Linked DNA regions of Arabidopsis thaliana. The protein of the gene in region 2 interacts with the protein of the main gene of each other region in a pairwise test. Each region holds a gene or a part of one and is shown on either strand. Other genes may lie near its edges. The genes, in order: OTP82, VAR3, NCED4 and CRR28.

Region 1 (4,739 bases), on a different chromosome or scaffold from region 2:
AAGAACGATGAGAAGGGGCCAGAGAGATGGGGAGAACTTAAACCGGAATGGGAAATGTGTGGAAAAGGAGAGATGCAATCTCCCATAGATCTTATGAACGAGAGAGTTAACATTGTTTCTCATCTTGGAAGGCTTAATAGAGACTATAATCCTTCAAATGCAACTCTTAAGAACAGAGGCCATGACATCATGGTATAATAATATATATAAACATGCATGGACTCATCTTCTGTTTAAGCTAGCACACACTTTTTTCGTTTGATTTTGTTGTGTTTATATATAAAACTAGGTAACTTTTTATTCTTACACAGAAGCCATTATTATAGAGCCACCTATGTGCTTCTAGTTTCTACTAATTAAAAACCGTAACCCTTAATAAACCAATAATCATGTGTTGATTAATCCTGTTGCAGTTAAAATTTGAAGATGGAGCAGGAACTATTAAGATCAATGGTTTTGAATATGAACTTCAACAGCTTCACTGGCACTCTCCGTCTGAACATACTATTAATGGAAGAAGGTAACTATTTCATTAAGATAATAATTACTAACTACATCAAAACTATCTTGATCGGTTCACAAAACTAAAAGTATTAGAACTTGCAAACAAACCAGGTTTGCACTTGAGCTGCATATGGTTCACGAAGGCAGGAATAGAAGAATGGCTGTTGTGACTGTGTTGTACAAGATCGGAAGAGCAGATACTTTTATCAGATCGGTACACATATAAAAAACTTAATATCTATTATTAACTGCATCGATATGTAATATTGGAACCAACAGTAATTGTTGATTTATTTGTTTTTGAAAATTTGGGTTGGTTTTAGTTGGAGAAAGAATTAGAGGGCATTGCTGAAATGGAGGAGGCTGAGAAAAATGTAGGAATGATTGATCCCACCAAAATTAAGATCGGAAGCAGAAAATATTACAGATACACTGGTTCACTTACCACTCCTCCTTGCACTCAAAACGTTACTTGGAGCGTCGTTAGAAAGGTATTTATTTATCTATTTTCACTTCATTTTGGTCTTAATTACCTAATTAATAGCAATGTTTAATTCCTTTAATAAAATTTCAGGTTAGGACCGTGACAAGAAAACAAGTGAAGCTCCTCCGCGTGGCAGTGCACGATGTAAGTGAGATTCCTTATGGTCAATGGAATATTCATCCCATGATGATGCTTTTTTCCATCCAATTTATTCATTCTTTTTTCATTATTTTAACTAGTGTTTTGAATGATATTTATTAGGATGCTAATTCGAATGCGAGGCCGGTTCAACCAACCAACAAGCGCATAGTGCACTTATACAGACCAATAGTTTAATATATGAAGATACTGAAAGCTTTTACTAATCTTAATTATTCACATAAACATCATGATTATACCCTAAAATAAAGGTTTCTCTAGTTACTCTACGTTAGACTGTTTTGTTGATTTTATTTATTTATCGTCCACGAAAATAATGGTAAACACAACAAGGATATTATTAAAAACTTATTAATTATTTTGGTCTCGTTTAGTATTTCTGCCGTTTACGTTTAAATTTTGCAAAACAACATAATCAAACATCGATCCTACCAAAAAAATATATAATCAAACATCGTAAGTGAAAAGTTAATCACAGGCCCATATAGTTGCAAACAAAAAAATCACAGGCCCAAACAAAGTCCGTGTGCTATTTGGGACTTTAAATGTGGCGGTAGTGAAAATTTCCGTTGGAAGCAACGATAAGTAAGAAGAAGAAGATGATGCTCTCGTGTTCTCCTCTCACCGTTCCTTCTTCTTCTTACCCATTCCATTTCCTTCCTTCGTCTTCTGATCCCCCTTACGATTCTATACGAAATCACCCTTCTCTTTCTCTTCTCCACAATTGCAAAACTCTTCAATCTCTCCGCATTATCCACGCTCAGATGATCAAAATCGGTCTCCACAACACCAATTACGCTCTCAGTAAGCTTATTGAGTTCTGCATTCTCTCTCCACACTTTGAAGGCCTTCCTTATGCGATATCTGTTTTCAAAACTATTCAGGAGCCAAACCTGTTGATTTGGAACACGATGTTTCGTGGGCACGCGTTGAGTTCGGACCCTGTTTCTGCTCTGAAGCTGTATGTTTGTATGATTTCACTTGGGCTTCTTCCTAATTCCTACACGTTTCCGTTTGTATTGAAATCTTGTGCAAAGTCGAAAGCTTTTAAGGAAGGGCAACAGATCCATGGGCATGTTTTGAAACTTGGATGTGATCTAGATTTGTATGTACATACTTCTCTGATCTCTATGTATGTCCAAAACGGGAGATTGGAAGATGCACATAAGGTGTTCGATAAAAGTCCTCACCGAGATGTGGTTTCATACACAGCTTTGATCAAGGGTTATGCATCGAGAGGCTATATCGAAAATGCACAGAAGTTGTTCGATGAAATTCCCGTTAAAGACGTAGTATCATGGAATGCAATGATTTCAGGATATGCTGAAACCGGTAACTATAAGGAAGCGTTAGAATTGTTTAAAGATATGATGAAGACGAATGTTAGGCCAGACGAGAGTACAATGGTCACTGTAGTTTCTGCTTGTGCTCAGTCTGGTAGTATTGAATTGGGTCGTCAGGTACATTTATGGATTGATGATCATGGGTTTGGTTCAAATCTCAAGATTGTTAATGCTCTCATTGATTTATACTCGAAATGTGGTGAATTGGAGACAGCGTGTGGTTTGTTCGAAAGATTGCCGTACAAGGATGTAATTTCTTGGAATACCTTGATCGGTGGTTACACACATATGAATCTTTACAAAGAAGCATTGTTGTTGTTTCAAGAAATGCTTAGATCAGGTGAAACTCCAAACGATGTGACAATGCTAAGTATTCTTCCTGCTTGTGCACACCTTGGAGCCATAGATATTGGAAGATGGATTCATGTGTATATCGACAAGAGATTAAAGGGTGTTACGAATGCTTCTTCTCTCCGTACAAGCCTGATTGACATGTATGCTAAATGTGGAGACATAGAGGCAGCACACCAAGTGTTCAACAGTATACTCCATAAAAGCTTGTCGTCTTGGAACGCAATGATATTTGGGTTTGCAATGCACGGGAGAGCTGATGCATCATTTGATCTTTTCTCAAGAATGAGAAAGATTGGGATTCAACCAGATGATATCACGTTTGTTGGTTTGTTGTCTGCTTGTAGCCATTCAGGTATGCTAGATCTTGGACGCCATATTTTCAGAACAATGACACAGGACTACAAAATGACCCCAAAATTAGAGCACTACGGTTGCATGATTGATCTTTTGGGTCATTCGGGTCTATTCAAAGAAGCGGAAGAAATGATAAACATGATGGAAATGGAGCCCGATGGAGTGATTTGGTGCTCCCTTCTCAAAGCTTGCAAGATGCATGGGAATGTCGAGTTGGGCGAATCATTTGCAGAAAACCTCATTAAGATTGAGCCAGAAAACCCAGGTTCTTATGTACTTCTGTCTAACATTTATGCCTCAGCAGGAAGATGGAACGAAGTAGCAAAAACACGAGCTCTCCTCAATGATAAAGGTATGAAGAAAGTTCCTGGTTGCAGCTCTATCGAAATAGATTCTGTGGTCCATGAGTTCATCATCGGGGATAAATTCCATCCACGGAACAGAGAAATCTACGGAATGTTAGAAGAAATGGAGGTGTTACTAGAGAAAGCCGGGTTTGTTCCAGATACTTCTGAAGTCTTGCAGGAGATGGAAGAAGAATGGAAGGAAGGAGCATTGCGGCATCACAGCGAGAAGCTAGCTATTGCATTTGGGCTGATCAGTACAAAGCCTGGGACTAAACTTACAATCGTGAAGAATCTAAGGGTATGCAGAAATTGTCATGAGGCTACAAAGCTTATATCAAAGATTTACAAAAGGGAGATTATTGCTAGAGACAGAACTCGGTTTCATCATTTTAGAGATGGTGTTTGTTCCTGCAATGACTACTGGTAGCCATCATTTCAGAGGATCTTGTTACCAATGATGTTGGTCAAGAACTGTAATATGACTTTCTTTGTGTGGTAGCTGTAAATTACAAGAAGATTAGTCAAGCAAGTAAATTGCATATAAGGTGTAACTGATTCATTGATGTAAGGGTATACATGTAAAGAAAGACTTTTCACTTTTCAAATAACAAATGCTGACGTATAATTTTTCTATACATGTATAGTTCATGCAAAGAATTGAGTAATCATCTAATTTTTACATTTAAAATTATGAAACTTTAGCTTCCAAGAAGCATAGTTAATCAAAATCAATTAAAGTTTTTACATTTATCACAGATTCAAAATAATTTTTACAAAGTATGTATAATAGTTAACTATAATGATTAAATGTGTTCTTATCGAATGTGAAGCGTTCATTTTATATAAATAAAATTTTATAAAAAATTATAATACAAATAATTAATCATAATTGTTTTGGAAATTTTGAAGTGGAATTATTCTGGAATCAAGTGTTATTGCCTTATTGGATTAGTAATTTTAAAATGTACGATCAAATCCATTGTTATTTCTGGAAATTTCTTAGTTAAAAATATAAGATCCAAATCCCATAGTTTTAGATGAGATTTGAGAGAATTTTAATAACAAATTTCCTAATTCAACAAAATTCACCAAAAAAATATCAAAACTCATAAAAACTCAAATCACTCTAAATTAATGATCCAATACACTCCTCCATTTAACTGGTGAGTCCCACAAAGATTTCCTTTTCTTTTA
Region 2 (5,532 bases):
AAGGCTTTCCCAGGCCCAAAATAGGGGAGCCTGATTTACCCGCAGATATCATAAACGACGTCGTTCTAAATCTTGCCTCTCGTTCTAAATCTTGCCTCTAACGACGTGTTTTCGGTTTTGCTTATAACTCTCCTTTTGGAGCTTGCTGATATATCTTCAATCTTTAATATTTTGCATTACTTTCTCAATTCTTTACTGCCTCACCAAGTAACGATCTCTTTTCATTCACAACATGTTTCATCACTTTGTGTTACGTTTATATTCACAACATTCTGTCTGTATATATATTTGTGTTGTTTCTTTTAATCAAGGCGAGACCAAAGCTTATTCACATTATGGAACTTCAAATTCAACAGCGAAAGCAAGCTGTGAAGGACATTAAGATGTTTGTGTGCATTAACTTTATTATATTAATGGTATCAGTATCATCCATCCAAGATTCTTCAAAAGCTTGTTGTGGTAACGTTTGATGTATTATAGCAATGTTGATTTTGTTGTGTGCAGGAGGAGAGAAGAAACACAGCGACTTCTAAAGGATGCCGTCGGTAAAGATGGAGAATAAAGTTTCTACACATTGTGTATATAGAAGTTGAATTAAAGAAATACAAAAATCGTATGGTAATATTACTCCGAAAAAATGTTATGCTACATGGTCATTTATCTCCTTTACCAGTGGGATCAGAGTTGGTGATATGAGGATTTCTCTGGTGTCGTTGAGAAGTTAAACGCCGTTCCAAGGGAGTTTTCCTCTTGCTGACAACAAACCTATTCACTCCTTTCCTCATCGGCATTATCGACGGGAAATCTTCGTCTGGGATCTCACTCAGCTCTGATATGTTCTTAATCTCAGCCACTCTCTTAAACCATCTCTCTGCTTTTGCTTCCTCTGACATGTCCAACAAGTCTGACTCCTTCACTAACGAACCCTCCAAGCTCTTTCCATTTCTGATCTTCACTGCCACTGTATCAGATTTGTTGATTGAAGGTTCTCTTGGTTCTTGTTGTACTACCTGAGAAACGTTTTCTGTCGCCGGAGCTGGAAGAGTATCTATTGATTCCTTGGGTTGTTTCTCTTTGGCGAAGTAGTCAGGTGGGAAAGGGACAAAGGGGACAAAGTCTGAATCTTCTGGCCTCTTGTATGCTGGAGAAGTCAGTGAACGGTCTTTCTTCCTACTCACTACAAACCGATTCTCTCCTTTTCGCATAGGCATTTTCTCAGGAGAAATCTCTTGCGGTATTGCGCTTTCCAAGTCTGAAACATTGTGCAGTTCGGTGACCCGTTTGAACCACCTCGCAGGTTCCTCTGATTTGTGATCTTCCTTTTCAAGGCGATCTGTTTCTTTGCCAGAGTGATTTGCATCTGACTTGTCCTCTTGATAGACATTTTGATTGCCGCCTGAGAAACCATCCACTTGGATGTTGTCAATCAGACCTATCTGTGTTTCCTCCTTAGGTTTCTTGGCAAACATATCCGAAGGTAATGGCACGAAAGGAACAAAATCGGTGTTTATTCCCTGAGAAGATTCAAACCTTCTGGAAGATACATTCTTGTCATCAGAACGAGAAGTCAAAGAGGATGAAGAACCAAGAATCTCATTCAAGCTCCTAGTTGTTTTACTTCCCAAAGCATTATCGTCGCTCCTTTTCGAGTTTCCATCTGTAGCTACTCTGTTCTCAGTATTAGCCAACCTTCTCTCAAGAGGTGGCTTCCTCGTGCTAACAACATATCTATTCACTCCTTTCCTCAAAGGCATAATCTCTGGGAAATCTTCATCTGTATCAACACTGTTCGCATCAGAACCACCCTGTGCTACTTTACTAAGCCACCTCTGTGCTTTCTTTTCGTTTTCGACCAGTCTTCTCTCAAGTTCAGGGTCACTTGAATAATCAGAGTTGGCTGAATTGAGTGAAGAGTCCCTGGGTCGCTTGCAGTCACATCTTAAGCAAGCTACATTCCTCCCGTAATTATAGAAATCACATCTGATAAGTGAAACAACCAAGAAAGAAAGGAAAGGTTAACCTCATCATTCCTCATCGCATTAGTCATAAAGTAGCAGAGAGAAAAAATCAGTTTCTTACTGAGGACACTCCCATTCACTACCAGTAAGCTGTCTCTTTGGTCTTGCTTCATCACACTGGAAGCATTTGACATTTCTCGCAAAGTTCATGCCACTGCACCTGTTTCAACAAATTCCCACATCATATATATAGATTCCCTAAACGACAAGATGATGAAACAAAGACAATTACACCATACTGACTTCTTAGCTCTAAAAATAAGATCTTTCGACCACAATACTAGTGTAATAGTCAGAAGTATACTTGTTCAAGCTCAGATCCAGAAGATTTTTTTTTATGGTATCCTTATATCTAGGCCTACTTATATCTTTCCATAGAAGAATGGTAACCAAAAGGCCATAGGAGATTTACACCAAAAAGCTACTGAGAATCCAACAAATTCATACCTCGAGCAAATCCAGTCACCACGTTTCATCTCAACGTTATTCTGAAAAGACCTGACTCCTTGTCCATCTCTATCTGAGTACTGATTTTGCATCGTGTCATGAACATTCGACTCAGGAGGACGCAAGCTCATCTTCGCTATCTGACTCAAGAGGCTTCGAACCGATGACTCCATAATCTCTTTGTTATGTTGTTTGCTCTCCTCAGAAGAAGCAACATCCACAACATAACTCAAAATAAGCCTCATCAAATCAACTGTACTCGCCTTCTCCATATCCATCAACTAATGTAAAACACAAAAGATCATAACTTTGAGGCACAAATCACCATTGAACCAAGTTTAGACATAACCTAGCATTCACCAATAAAAGACTAAGCATTTGCCAGAAGATAGAACTTACCTTACCAATGCCCTGAAGACCACTTCTTAGGTAAAGGCTCATCCTTTTAAGTGAATCTGGACCTGTCTTGAATAAAAATGGCTTTCCATTCTCCACCAGCACTTCAACGTCTCTCCTCGAAAGCATTCTAATAAACACTAACATCATCAGATATTCAGATTGAGAATCAATCCAAAAAGAGAAAGAGAAAAAATTGCAGATTACTTACTCAAGCAGTTCTGGTCGTTCACGAGCTAGAGCTAAGCAAGCAAGAGCTGGACGGAGAAGTTCATCAGGAAAACCGGGAAAGAATTCACTTTCTAAACCAGAAATCGAACCGGAATCTGAGAAGTAACCAGCTTTGGAGAGAGATTGGAGTAGCTCTGTCCATTCAGGTAGCTGCTGGTTGTGATAAGAAGGAACAAAATCTGCGGCGGAGACACGGACTTGGTGATTGTAGAATCGTCCTATAGGAAACGTGGGGATAAGCGGCGGCAATGACACGAGTGGACGGAAAGAACATAGATTGGTTGAGGCAACGGACGAAGGAGGAAACGCACGGCGGTGGAAACGGCGGAGATTGGCTATGCGGCTGATGTAGAGACCACGGAGTAGAAAGAGAGGAGGAGGATGAGGAGAGAAGAGGGAGATGAGTCTGGTGGAGTTGTTCATCGTTGCTCGTCGTCACTGGTTTTATTTTTACCGGCGAGAATTATTTCAGTGATGTTTAAGGAAAAAAAAAGGATTAATAAATCGCAAAATAATTGCAAAATGAAGAAAAAAATAAGCCCATATTGGCTAACATAGGCCCATAATTCTGTGTGCTACTACTTGGGCTTGCCATTATGAATGTTTGGTAACTTTGGTAAATAATGTATTTCATTCAAATGGGATGTCTCTTAAAGAAAAAGTAAATGGTTTCGTACTAATAATGGAATTAACCCAAGTAACGAACTGATAGTAATCTAATCTAAGAGATGTTTTAAAGATAAGCGTAAGTTTTATGTTGAAATCTTCAGTTTATACAATATAAAAAGGAGTTTGCAGATTCGGTATTTATCAAATTGCACGTCGATTTGACATCAATTTTCGTGACTTGAAAAGTTGAAGTGTACATTGTACAATGTCATACGCATGCATACATTTCTTTTGACTTAAAGCCGCTATAACTTTAAAAGATTTATAGTCATACATTTCTCCGTTATTGAATTTTCACTTACTTAACAAACCTCGATTATAGTTATACTTCTACATATGTTCGTAATAAGTGATGTTTACTTGTTTAGAGATTTCAATTCACATACGTTATTTAATTTCTAACTTTTGTTTTTCTTAAATTAATAAGTTTATATGTTACAACTTACAACTTTCGAAAATAATAGATGATATAGACTATTTTTACATATACTATAGAAAAAAGCTATGTCAAGGATCTAAAATAGTTATATTTATTATGTATTAGTACTTCTTGGTTTCAGAACTTATACAATTACAATATATAATAAAACCTAAGAAATAAAAATTAACTAAAAAATAATACGTTATGAATATAGTTTTATATAAACGAAAGAAACGAAAATTAAAACATCAGTGGAACTAAAAAGGAGAGAATAATATTTGTGTTCTCTTGAACGTGGGAGTCACTGTGAGTTAAAGTTGGGTGTGGATTAGTTGCCGATCACTGCCGTCAACTTTTGACTAATGTTTATTCTGATTAACACTTTTACATACACTAAGCTATTTATAATGTAATAACTAATTTCTTTGTTTAGATCTATGTGGAGTAAAATATTGGTGAGTACGTAGACAATTAACTGCCTTGATAATGACTTCAATCTAAGTCCGTAAGGTATAACCTCATTAATTCCCCTAGAAATGTATTTTATCATAATTAATTACTATTTATACTTTGATGTGACATGTTTAGTTCTATGCCACAAGTGCAATGGACGGGCTAACAACTTTGACATGATTTGTAATTAAAATTCAATTTTAATAAAGAGACTTTATGTCATTACATCATGAGATAAAGCCCTAAATTCCTCAAATTAGTTAAAGTGTCTTCTTTAAAACTAATCAAGAAGTTTTAAAGAAACTTTTTCTATGTTAATGTAATTAGTGTGACTTATCTCATGAATCATGATTATCCGAACATTATTTTAGCGCTTGGAGTTTCGAAGTTACCTTTTCTCGCCACCTTTTGTTTTCTGGGTCTATTGAAAGATTGTCTCAAATTTTAAAAGGATAAGAAAAACACAATTCCATTAACTTTAATCGTACAAGTGAGAGTGTTAGAAATTGTGGTTAAACAATGATCAATAACCACTAACCATTTCGTAAAATTCACCGACGACTTTATCAAATGACGAACATGATCCGATGGATCCACGAACTACCGAAAGAGAAGTAACCTCAGAACTATGTAGAAAAAGCAATCCTATTATTCATTCGAACTAATTCAATATGCAGCTAGTTTTTTGGTCTAACGACTTCTTATCGTACCATTTTTCATCTCTTATCATTTTTACCATATTCAACCATACCACCATTTTTATCACTATTTTGTACAGTTACAAAGCTCTTACCGTCTTGCGCTATTAATCGGACCATTAAACAACTTCACATAAAATTTTATATTAGACGTTTGAATTTAAGTCGAAGTTTTGATAATCTTAAATGTAACCCCTAA
Region 3 (4,369 bases), on a different chromosome or scaffold from region 2:
CTCAAAACGAAAGGATAAATCTACATCTATGTCAGTGTCACTCTCGTTCGTTTATTGCTTTGGCCACTCGTTTGCTTTGATTCCACTACACCCAATTCACAATAATTTCAAGGTTTTCTTAATACTACTAAAATTAAAAGATTTAAATTTGTTTTAAGAGGTTACATTTCTAAAGGTCGTTGTATATGCTATAAATGACGTTGGGCCATATCCATATCCATACCTCATGTTTTGCTCAAAACAATGATGTCTCGTTGGTCCCATCACTAAAACACAATCTTTTTCATGTTCCTATTTATTTATCTAAACCACAAATCTTTTTCTGTGCATTAATTTTCTTTATCCGTTAACTGATCATTCATATTTCGACTGATAGTTGTCTCATGATCTTATTAACAATGTATTCAGTTTTTATGCTTAAGAAACAATATTGGCATGACACATTGCCCACATTGTCATATTCGAGTATTAAAACTCAGCATTCTCATATTTTTATCTACATCTTCCACTAATATGAAATAGAGAAATAGAGTTGTGTTAAGATCTGATAACTCTCGGAATGAATGAATATTTATAAGATTTATTGCCAATAACAGAAGCTGCATATTTAAAAGAAAAAAATAATATTCATAAGCTTTGGTATGTTTTATATACATCGACCACCACCAAACTATGTGTACTTTAGTTTAATGTATAAAGTGCAAGTGTGCAACAACACTATGCGATTTGTTGTACGGGACGTAATTAAGACTTAATTATTCTATTAACTATTGCAGTTACCTATATTGTTAAAGCTTATTAAGGTCACTTTCCTTGACAAATAACCCATGGAATCCGTACGGAACCCTTCGCGGCAACCTCACGGCGGCGACGATTTCAAGCTCCGGCGATTTAGCGTCCATCACCAGAAACTTCGATTCTCCAGTCACTTCATCGTGAACATACGTCACCACATAACCATCATCCTCCTCCGCCTCCGGATTACCAGGATCCCTAGCTACGAAAAACGGTTCTCCGCCGTAACAACCTGAACCGTACATTCTACGGGCCACCGTACAATCATCCCGATCTCCTTTAGACACATCAAGCTTCACCACACCGGAGATCTTCGGCATCGGATCTCCAATCGCCGCGTAAACGTACCTGCTACATCTCCCGAGAAACGCCGGATTAATCACAGCGAAATCGAGATTCCTCGCTGAGATCGGATGACGTCTCACAATCCCGGTGACGAGATCGATCTTCACCTTCTCCACCAAAGCATGAACCAGATCCATCCTCTCTAAAGTATGTTCAATCGACATAATATTCGGTGCAATCAAAACGACGCTGTTTCCATCATCTTCATCCCAAGCATTAATAGCGTGAATGATATTGAATCCAGGAACTTCGAACCATTTCATCTCCGACTCATCTCCGGCGTACTTAGGAATCACTCCAAGCCTTGGAGTTTTTCCGTTATCAGTACCAACCGGAGAACCACCTTCGAGAACCAAATCCAACATGTTCATCCTCATGCCAAGCTGAATCTCTGCGAAAATCGCGTGACGTTTCGTGATCGCGAAGTCATGGAGAAACGACGGAGACGTCATCGAGAATATCGGAACGTCTCTTTGTTTTTTCCCGGCGGAATCAAACCGGAAATATGTTAAAAACGGTGGAACCGGACCGTACCGGAAAGCGAAAGTTTCTCCGGTTATTGGATCGGTTTTAGGATGAGCTGTCATACTCATCGCTAATTTCCCGTCGAAATCGTACCGTCCGATCGTTTCAATATCTCCTGATTCGGTTAATCGGACGGCGTAGGGTAAATCAGATTCACCTAAAGCAAAGAGACGGTTACTGAAGAAAGCTAGACTTGTATTAGCTAAACCAATGCCGTTAACCGGATTATACTGTCCGGTTAAAACCCTAGCTGCCGTTAAAGCTCCACGAGCTACTGACGCCGTTACACCGTTGAATCCGGAAAACACGTTAGGCATAACCGGAGCTCCGGTTTGTTTCTCGACGTTGTATTTATAAGTCTTGACGTATCTGCTACAGAGAGTGGCTTTACCGTTGTGGATTTTTATGGCGTGAAGCATACCGTCGCCGTCGAAGAGATGGTAAGGACCACGAGGGAGAAACTGTGGATTTGGACCGTTACGGATGTAAGCGCCGTTAAGTGACAGTGGAAGAGTGCCGTGGATGATTTCACAGTCTGTTGGAGGAAGCTCGTCGAGGACAGGAGCGAAGTTATCAGAGAGGACATGTTTTGGATCAACGGAAGGACGTGAAGGTGGATCGATGAACGTGTTGATTACATCTTCGACGGTGGTGAAGAGAGCTGTTGCGAGAGTCATTTCTGGTCGGAGTTTCGGTGGTGATGAGACTAAGGTGTGATTGGTTCGGTTGTGGAGTGTTTTGGGTTTGTTACGACGATCATTGTTGTCGCTTGGGTTTGTGATTGGAGAACGTTCTTCGACGACGGCGGAGTTGATACGGAGGAGAGTAGGAGAGGAAGATCGGCGGCGAAGAAGAGAGTGATGAAGAGAGAATGTGGAGGAGAGGAAGGAAGAAGAAGAAACAGAGTCCATTGCTCTCCTTTTGTTTTTACTTTCTTTGGCTCCACGTTTAAGGCTGTGAAGGAAGATGAGTGTGTTGTGTGGGGCTATTTATTAAATTTTCAAAATCAAAAATCATTTAATTGTTTCTTTGTGAAACTTAGATTTTTATTCTTTGATGTGAAGCTACTAAAATCCTTTGGTTCGTAGTTTATGTGAAGTTCTAATCTACAAATATTGGTTTGTCTATATTGTTATTTTCACATACGATAATATTATTTTCCTAAATATCAGACGAATTATCTTGTATTTTATGTGCTGCAAAACTATTCATCAACTTTGACAAAAATGTTTCATCGAAATATTTTGAATTTGTATATTATCTCGTTTGTGAACAATTTCTCCGACCTGGTTTCTTTGAGCCACTACAGTATTATAAAGTTGTTGAAAAGGAAAAAAACTATGATAATCATAAAAGTATTTTATTAAATTTGATAGTTTTTTTTGGGTCAAATTGTTAGTCAATATATTTTAAAATTTTGTTAAATGTTATGTTTCTTACATTTCTTCTTTGGTAAAAACATATTTGACTCCTTTTCAAGACCGTGTACGGGGCATTCTAGCTACTAATGATTTAGCGATAACAACAAAAATGTTTATAAAAAAAACAAAAAAAAACAACAACGTGAAATGGGAATCTTGGTCTGTAGTTGTTGATATAAAAGTAAACTCGATTAGGTATACGAGTCTACGAGTGACATTGGTCGAAATTTCAGCACCCACAAATGTGGAAACTATAACATGTTGGATAGAAAGAATAAAGTTTATTACACCAACAATCGTGATTGTGAGAAGGATACAAAACTACTGATACCAAACTGTAATGTCGCATTATACTAAAGGAGGAATAAAACATGTAGTCGTTATTTTCGGTCACTTGGGTCGGGGAAATTTTTGTTTTTTGTATATATATATATATATATATGACTACTATTCTTGACTACAAATTTAATTTTTAAAAACTTAAGTTTGATTGATAACCTTTACAAGTCAAGGGAATGGATCATGGATGGTTCAGAGTTCAAAGTGCAAAATCATCAAAAATATGAAAGATAGAATGACATGTAATGGTACAAGTGTTGCATATTTGATAATTGATATTGCCACTCTTTGGGGTTATGCATGCACAATTCACATGTTTATGTGTTGTTCCTACGTTGTAGTTTTCTAGATAATATCGAACTCTTTACTACTTCTATTTTTCAAGCTAAACTAATACAAACTTATCTATTGAAATTAAGTTTATATGATTTAAGTCGATTGATTAAACTGTAACTGTAATTTTTTCTTCTTTCTTTATCTTAAAGTCCCAGCCAATCCTCTAAGCAAAATTTAGCAAAAAAATCAAAAAACAAATCCTCTAAGCTTTTTTTTTTTTTTTGGTAGGGACCAATCTTCTTTAGCTTTTAAACAGACAGGACCAAAGTTAAAAGAGTAGAATTGAGCAAGATTATCGTGTTTGGATAATTGAATGCGATCGGGGCTTACTTTTTCGGTTTGAACCAAAGTAAAACTGAAAAATCATTTCTAAAAATCCAAATCTCATTCGGTTACTTGGTTCTTAGCAAGTACACTTGTCAGTTGTCACTAAACCATGATCGAATCGGCTCGTCTTATATAAGCTTAAGCTGTTGAGGCCCAAATAGATAAAACCTTGAAATATGGATTCACGGGAAACTCAAAATTTAGCTGGAGGCCCAAATCCATTAGATCTGATTAGAAAACAACAGTAGTAGTCTAGTAGAGTTACAACAAACAACAAAAGC
Region 4 (4,169 bases), on a different chromosome or scaffold from region 2:
TTGACTTGATGTTTTGTGTGTGGTAGTCAACGGATTCACTGGCGGTTGGATCGCCGCCGAAATCGGAAGGGAGAGTGATATACTACCATGTGGCGGATGATGATGATGATGTTGAAGATGACTCTGTTGAGGTAAGTTCGTTTACTTTCAAAGGAAATGGTGTTGAAGAGCTGACTATGAGATTGAAAGAAGAGAGCAATGTCGAAGACGTTATCGTTTGTACTCGTAGTCCGTTGAACGGGAAGCTTTTCCCATTGCGTCTTCAACTTCCACCTAACAATGCTGACATGACTGTTGTCTTAGTGCCAAAATCATCAAAAAGTGAGTCTCTTTTGGTCCTAATTTCAAGTCAAGTCGTTGCATTGTCACTGATGTTCTCTGTTTTCTTGGATTTAACAGTAGCAGAAAAGTTCATCAAGTGAGATCTTTCTTTTGAAGCTGAGCTGTGAAGTGAAGGCTTTGGCTGCAATTGGTTTGTTGCTACTAAGAAAGGATTTGGATTGACTTAGAGATACTGCTTGATTACCAAACTTATGATTTAGAGATACCATTCTTTCCCTTTTGTCCAACTCTAATGCTCAATCTCTTTCAATTACTGCGACTAGTTTTTTTTTTGCTACCAGTAGTCTAAACAAGAGCAGGATCCATCTTTGAAGTGATGGAAACGAACACGATCTCTCACGATGATCTCAGTGTTGAAGACTTTTGAGATCAGTTTAGTAACCTCGTGGCAATCGTTGCAGACACGTAGATTCTTGAATATACGGATTGGAGTCTGAGGTGGTAAGTTTATCAGACCAAAAGCAATGGCAAGTCTTTCACTGTGCAGCCTAAGGGAATACTCTTTGCTACCATCATTGGTGGCATCCACTAAAGGTGCTTGAGAGCGATCCGGTAAATAACCAATTGATCTTAGCCTGTCGTCGATCACCTTCAACTGTTGGTATATCTGTTTGGTCTGAGGATGCGACGTGTCTCCTGCGAAAAACTCGTGGGAGATGCCATTTATCTCAATAGAACTGCATCCAGGCTCTTTTCTAATTCCATGTTCACTCATTAGTTTTCTAACGATTCCAACATCGTTCCAGCGGCTAGCTGATGCATAAACTCTAGACAACAGTACATATGCACCACTGCAGTTACCATTGGAGCTTTCGTTATCTTCCTTTGTTCCAATAATATTTCTAGCAATTTCTTCACTTAGCTCCACACTAGCACCCTTTTTGCAACAAGCATCAAGGAGACTTCTCCATATCACTGCATCTGGTTTCATTGGCATGCTCATTACCATGTCAATAGCTTCAGTAATGTAGCCTGCACGAGCAATAAGGTCGACGATGCAACCGTAATGCTCCAACGCAGGTTCGATGCAATAATCTCTGACCATCATGTCAAAATACTGGCGCCCTTTGTTTACAAAGCCTCGGTGGTTGCAGGCGATGAGCAAGCCAACAAACGTGACTGAGTTCGGTCTAACATTCTCTCTTTTATCCACCATACGGTCGAAGAAATTCATGGCTTCCTCAGCTCTTCCATGTGTAGCAAACCCTAGAATCATTGCATTCCATGAAGCTAAGTCACGTTTTTGCATCCCCTGAAACACTTGCTCAGCCATTCTCAACGACCCGCATTTGCAATACATTTCGATCAACGAGTTCTTAACCAAAACATCCATAGCAACATCGACATCACATTTTCGCAGCAGAAACGCATGTGCCCAAGTACCTAGTGACAAAGATCCAAGACCAGCACACGCACTCAAAACACTCTGCATCGTATAACCATCTGGTTCAAACGATCTCTGCATCTCTCTAAACAGTTGTAACGCAGAATCATACTCCCCAAACCGAACCAGAGCATCGATCATCGAATTCCACGAAACAAGACTTCTCTCAGGCATTTCATCAAACACTTTCCGTGCTAAATCCAAACACCCACAAGACCCATACAAATGAATCAAACCATTATTAACATACACATCTCCACCAAACCCATGTTTCACAATCTGACAATGAACTTGCTTCCCTTCGGAGAACCCGAATATATAAGCGCAAGCTTTCAATACAAACGGAAACGTATGCTTATCCGGTGAAGATTCACCTCTCTCTAACATTTTCCGGTAAAGCATAAAGGCTTCTTCTTTCCTTGAAACATCATGAGCACATGCTCTTATAAGAGTGTTCCACATGAAAGAGCTATGGTTTTCGATGGAGTCGAAAACCCGGAACGCGTAATTGACGTCGGAGAAGGAGGAAGAGAGCTGGAGGATTTTGCCGTAGAGAAACAGAGTTGCGGGTTCCTCAGGGTAAGTAGTACGGAGAGTGAAGGCGTGAAGTTGCTTGAGCTGAGACATGTCTGAACATGTTTCTGCTAAGGAGAAAATACGTTGGTGATGGTTACCGGCGGTGGAGGCTGAGGGAGAACTTGCCGGTGGGATATGAGGAGATAATGGGTGGACCAGAAGACCGATAGACATTGGATGGTAATAAGTTATAGTTGTTGGAGGTGAAACGATAATTGAACGAACAACCATACTTTAAGTTTGGAATTCGTGAAAAAACCAATGTTTTTAAACCGAACCGGATGGCAAACCGGATGGCAAGCAAGACTACTCATCGAGTCATTGGATTAACCGAGAGTCAATTAATATTTTTAAAAAATATATTTAGAATGATTATCTAATTTAATTAATTTACTAGATTTTAATTTACGGTAAACCGCAAAACTATATTTAAAATAAAATAAATTATAATATAATTCGTTTAATTGATCAATAGATTTTACAACCTATTGTTTTATATATTTAAAATGTACAATTTTTATTTATATTACAATTTTATAGTAATTATTTTGTAATATATATAGAAAGAAAACGTAGAACGGTAGCATGAACCCTATCCAACTGGTAACAGCTTGACTGGCCAAGGCTTACATTGGAGGATTTCTGTCGCAACCACCAAAAACCACTCAAGACACTCCAAGCTTTGCTATTTAGTATCGAATATGTATTCTGAATATCCTACAAATAGAATATACATAATTGGTCTCCAAGCTGTTACATAGATCCATAAAAATGTTACATTACTTGGTCTCCAAGCTTTGTATCCTCCATATACATTGTCAAAAAACAATTCTTAATCTCTTTGATCATGATACACTTTATTATCTTAAAGTTGTATGGACATTTTTCGATCCATTCATATGAGAACATTATGATATAATTCATACACGAAAATGTTTACAACATTACAAAAAAATAAAAATTATTTTAGTAGTATGGTAGAAAACTATAAATTAATGACTGATAAATCATATCTTTTGGTACATTTACGCAGAAATACTATTTTCCATCGCAAAATTTAATCAATATTAAAAGAAAAATCCTAAAACTTATATATAATTTTTTTTTTCTGTTTTGGTCAACCATACTATTATTTCTATAGGATACAAATACATAAATAAGCAAGACATAAGATAACACCATATCATTATTTGGGACTTTATGTTTTTGGACAAACCATTATTTGGGACTAATTAAAACACATTAAAACCCCCTTTTTCGGTTTACAAATCTTATCTATCTTCTTTTGTATTTTAACCTCATCAAGTCCTTCTCCCTTCACGGTTAGCAAGTCGCTTTGTATATTATATGTTACAGAACTAACTCCTAACAAAAAGGAAAAATACATTTATATAGATTTTTAAATATTATAGTGTTATTGAAATGTTTTCTATGTAAACTATATATTTAGTAGCAACTATATATATAAAAAAATGGTTTATTTTGGCTCCACAAAACTATTCGATTGTGTTTGTGTACCTTTACGGCTATTGATATAGTCTAACGTTTTTTCCCTAGCTCTTTCATCAGTAGATCCAAACTTGAATGTATATTCTTCCTATCAAACAAAAGAGAAATTGTATTAAAATCCTAGGGAATTCATTGTATAAGAAATCCAAGGTGCTAAATATGTAAAACTACATGTATAATTTTCCTTTTTAACGGCTTTTAAAAAAATTAACGAACCATTTATTGAAACAAAGTTCAGAAATTTCAGTAGAGATGATCAAAGCAATGTGACTGCGAGTTTTCAACTTAGTGGCCTGCTTATAACATCTTTTTTATATATTGATCATTAAAATGCACAATTTTGATACATTTATGTAGT

The links.
Region 1: the proteins of VAR3 (region 2) and OTP82 interact in a two-hybrid assay, tested with the Arabidopsis thaliana proteins (one study listed by BioGRID).
Region 3: the proteins of VAR3 (region 2) and NCED4 interact in a two-hybrid assay, tested with the Arabidopsis thaliana proteins (one study listed by BioGRID).
Region 4: the proteins of VAR3 (region 2) and CRR28 interact in a two-hybrid assay, tested with the Arabidopsis thaliana proteins (one study listed by BioGRID).

Annotation. Positions count from the first base shown.
Region 1 is NC_003070.9:2,513,607-2,518,345, reverse strand, and holds OTP82 (Tetratricopeptide repeat (TPR)-like superfamily protein), read left to right. Parts: upstream 1-1,725; 5' UTR 1,726-1,746; coding exon 1,747-3,972; 3' UTR 3,973-4,196; downstream 4,197-4,739. Other genes in the region: ACA7 (alpha carbonic anhydrase 7), read left to right, coding at 1-192, 414-520, 616-718, 828-995, 1,079-1,132, 1,250-1,324. UniProt on the Arabidopsis thaliana protein: Involved in multiple sites RNA editing events in chloroplasts. Involved in the editing of the site 9 of ndhB (ndhB-9) and site 1 of ndhG (ndhG-1) transcripts, which are two plastid-encoded subunits of the chloroplast NAD(P)H dehydrogenase (NDH) complex.
Region 2 is NC_003076.8:5,869,157-5,874,688, forward strand, and holds VAR3 (zinc finger (Ran-binding) family protein), read right to left. Parts: upstream 3,627-5,532; 5' UTR 3,516-3,626; coding exon 3,073-3,515; intron 2,992-3,072; coding exon 2,865-2,991; intron 2,747-2,864; coding exon 2,466-2,746; intron 2,179-2,465; coding exon 2,080-2,178; intron 1,981-2,079; coding exon 654-1,980; 3' UTR 540-653; downstream 1-539. UniProt on the Arabidopsis thaliana protein: Probable component of some protein complex required for chloroplast and palisade cell development. Involved in C-to-U editing of chloroplastic RNA. Controls a large number of chloroplastic editing sites.
Region 3 is NC_003075.7:10,480,042-10,484,410, reverse strand, and holds NCED4 (nine-cis-epoxycarotenoid dioxygenase 4), read right to left. Parts: upstream 2,793-4,369; 5' UTR 2,577-2,792; coding exon 789-2,576; 3' UTR 532-788; downstream 1-531. UniProt on the Arabidopsis thaliana protein: May be involved in carotenoid cleavage.
Region 4 is NC_003070.9:21,939,252-21,943,420, forward strand, and holds CRR28 (Tetratricopeptide repeat (TPR)-like superfamily protein), read right to left. Parts: upstream 2,534-4,169; coding exon 617-2,533; 3' UTR 501-616; downstream 1-500. Other genes in the region: AT1G59710 (actin cross-linking protein (DUF569)), read left to right, coding at 27-422. UniProt on the Arabidopsis thaliana protein: Involved in multiple sites RNA editing events in chloroplasts. Involved in the editing of the site 2 of ndhB (ndhB-2) and site 3 of ndhD (ndhD-3) transcripts, which are two plastid-encoded subunits of the chloroplast NAD(P)H dehydrogenase (NDH) complex.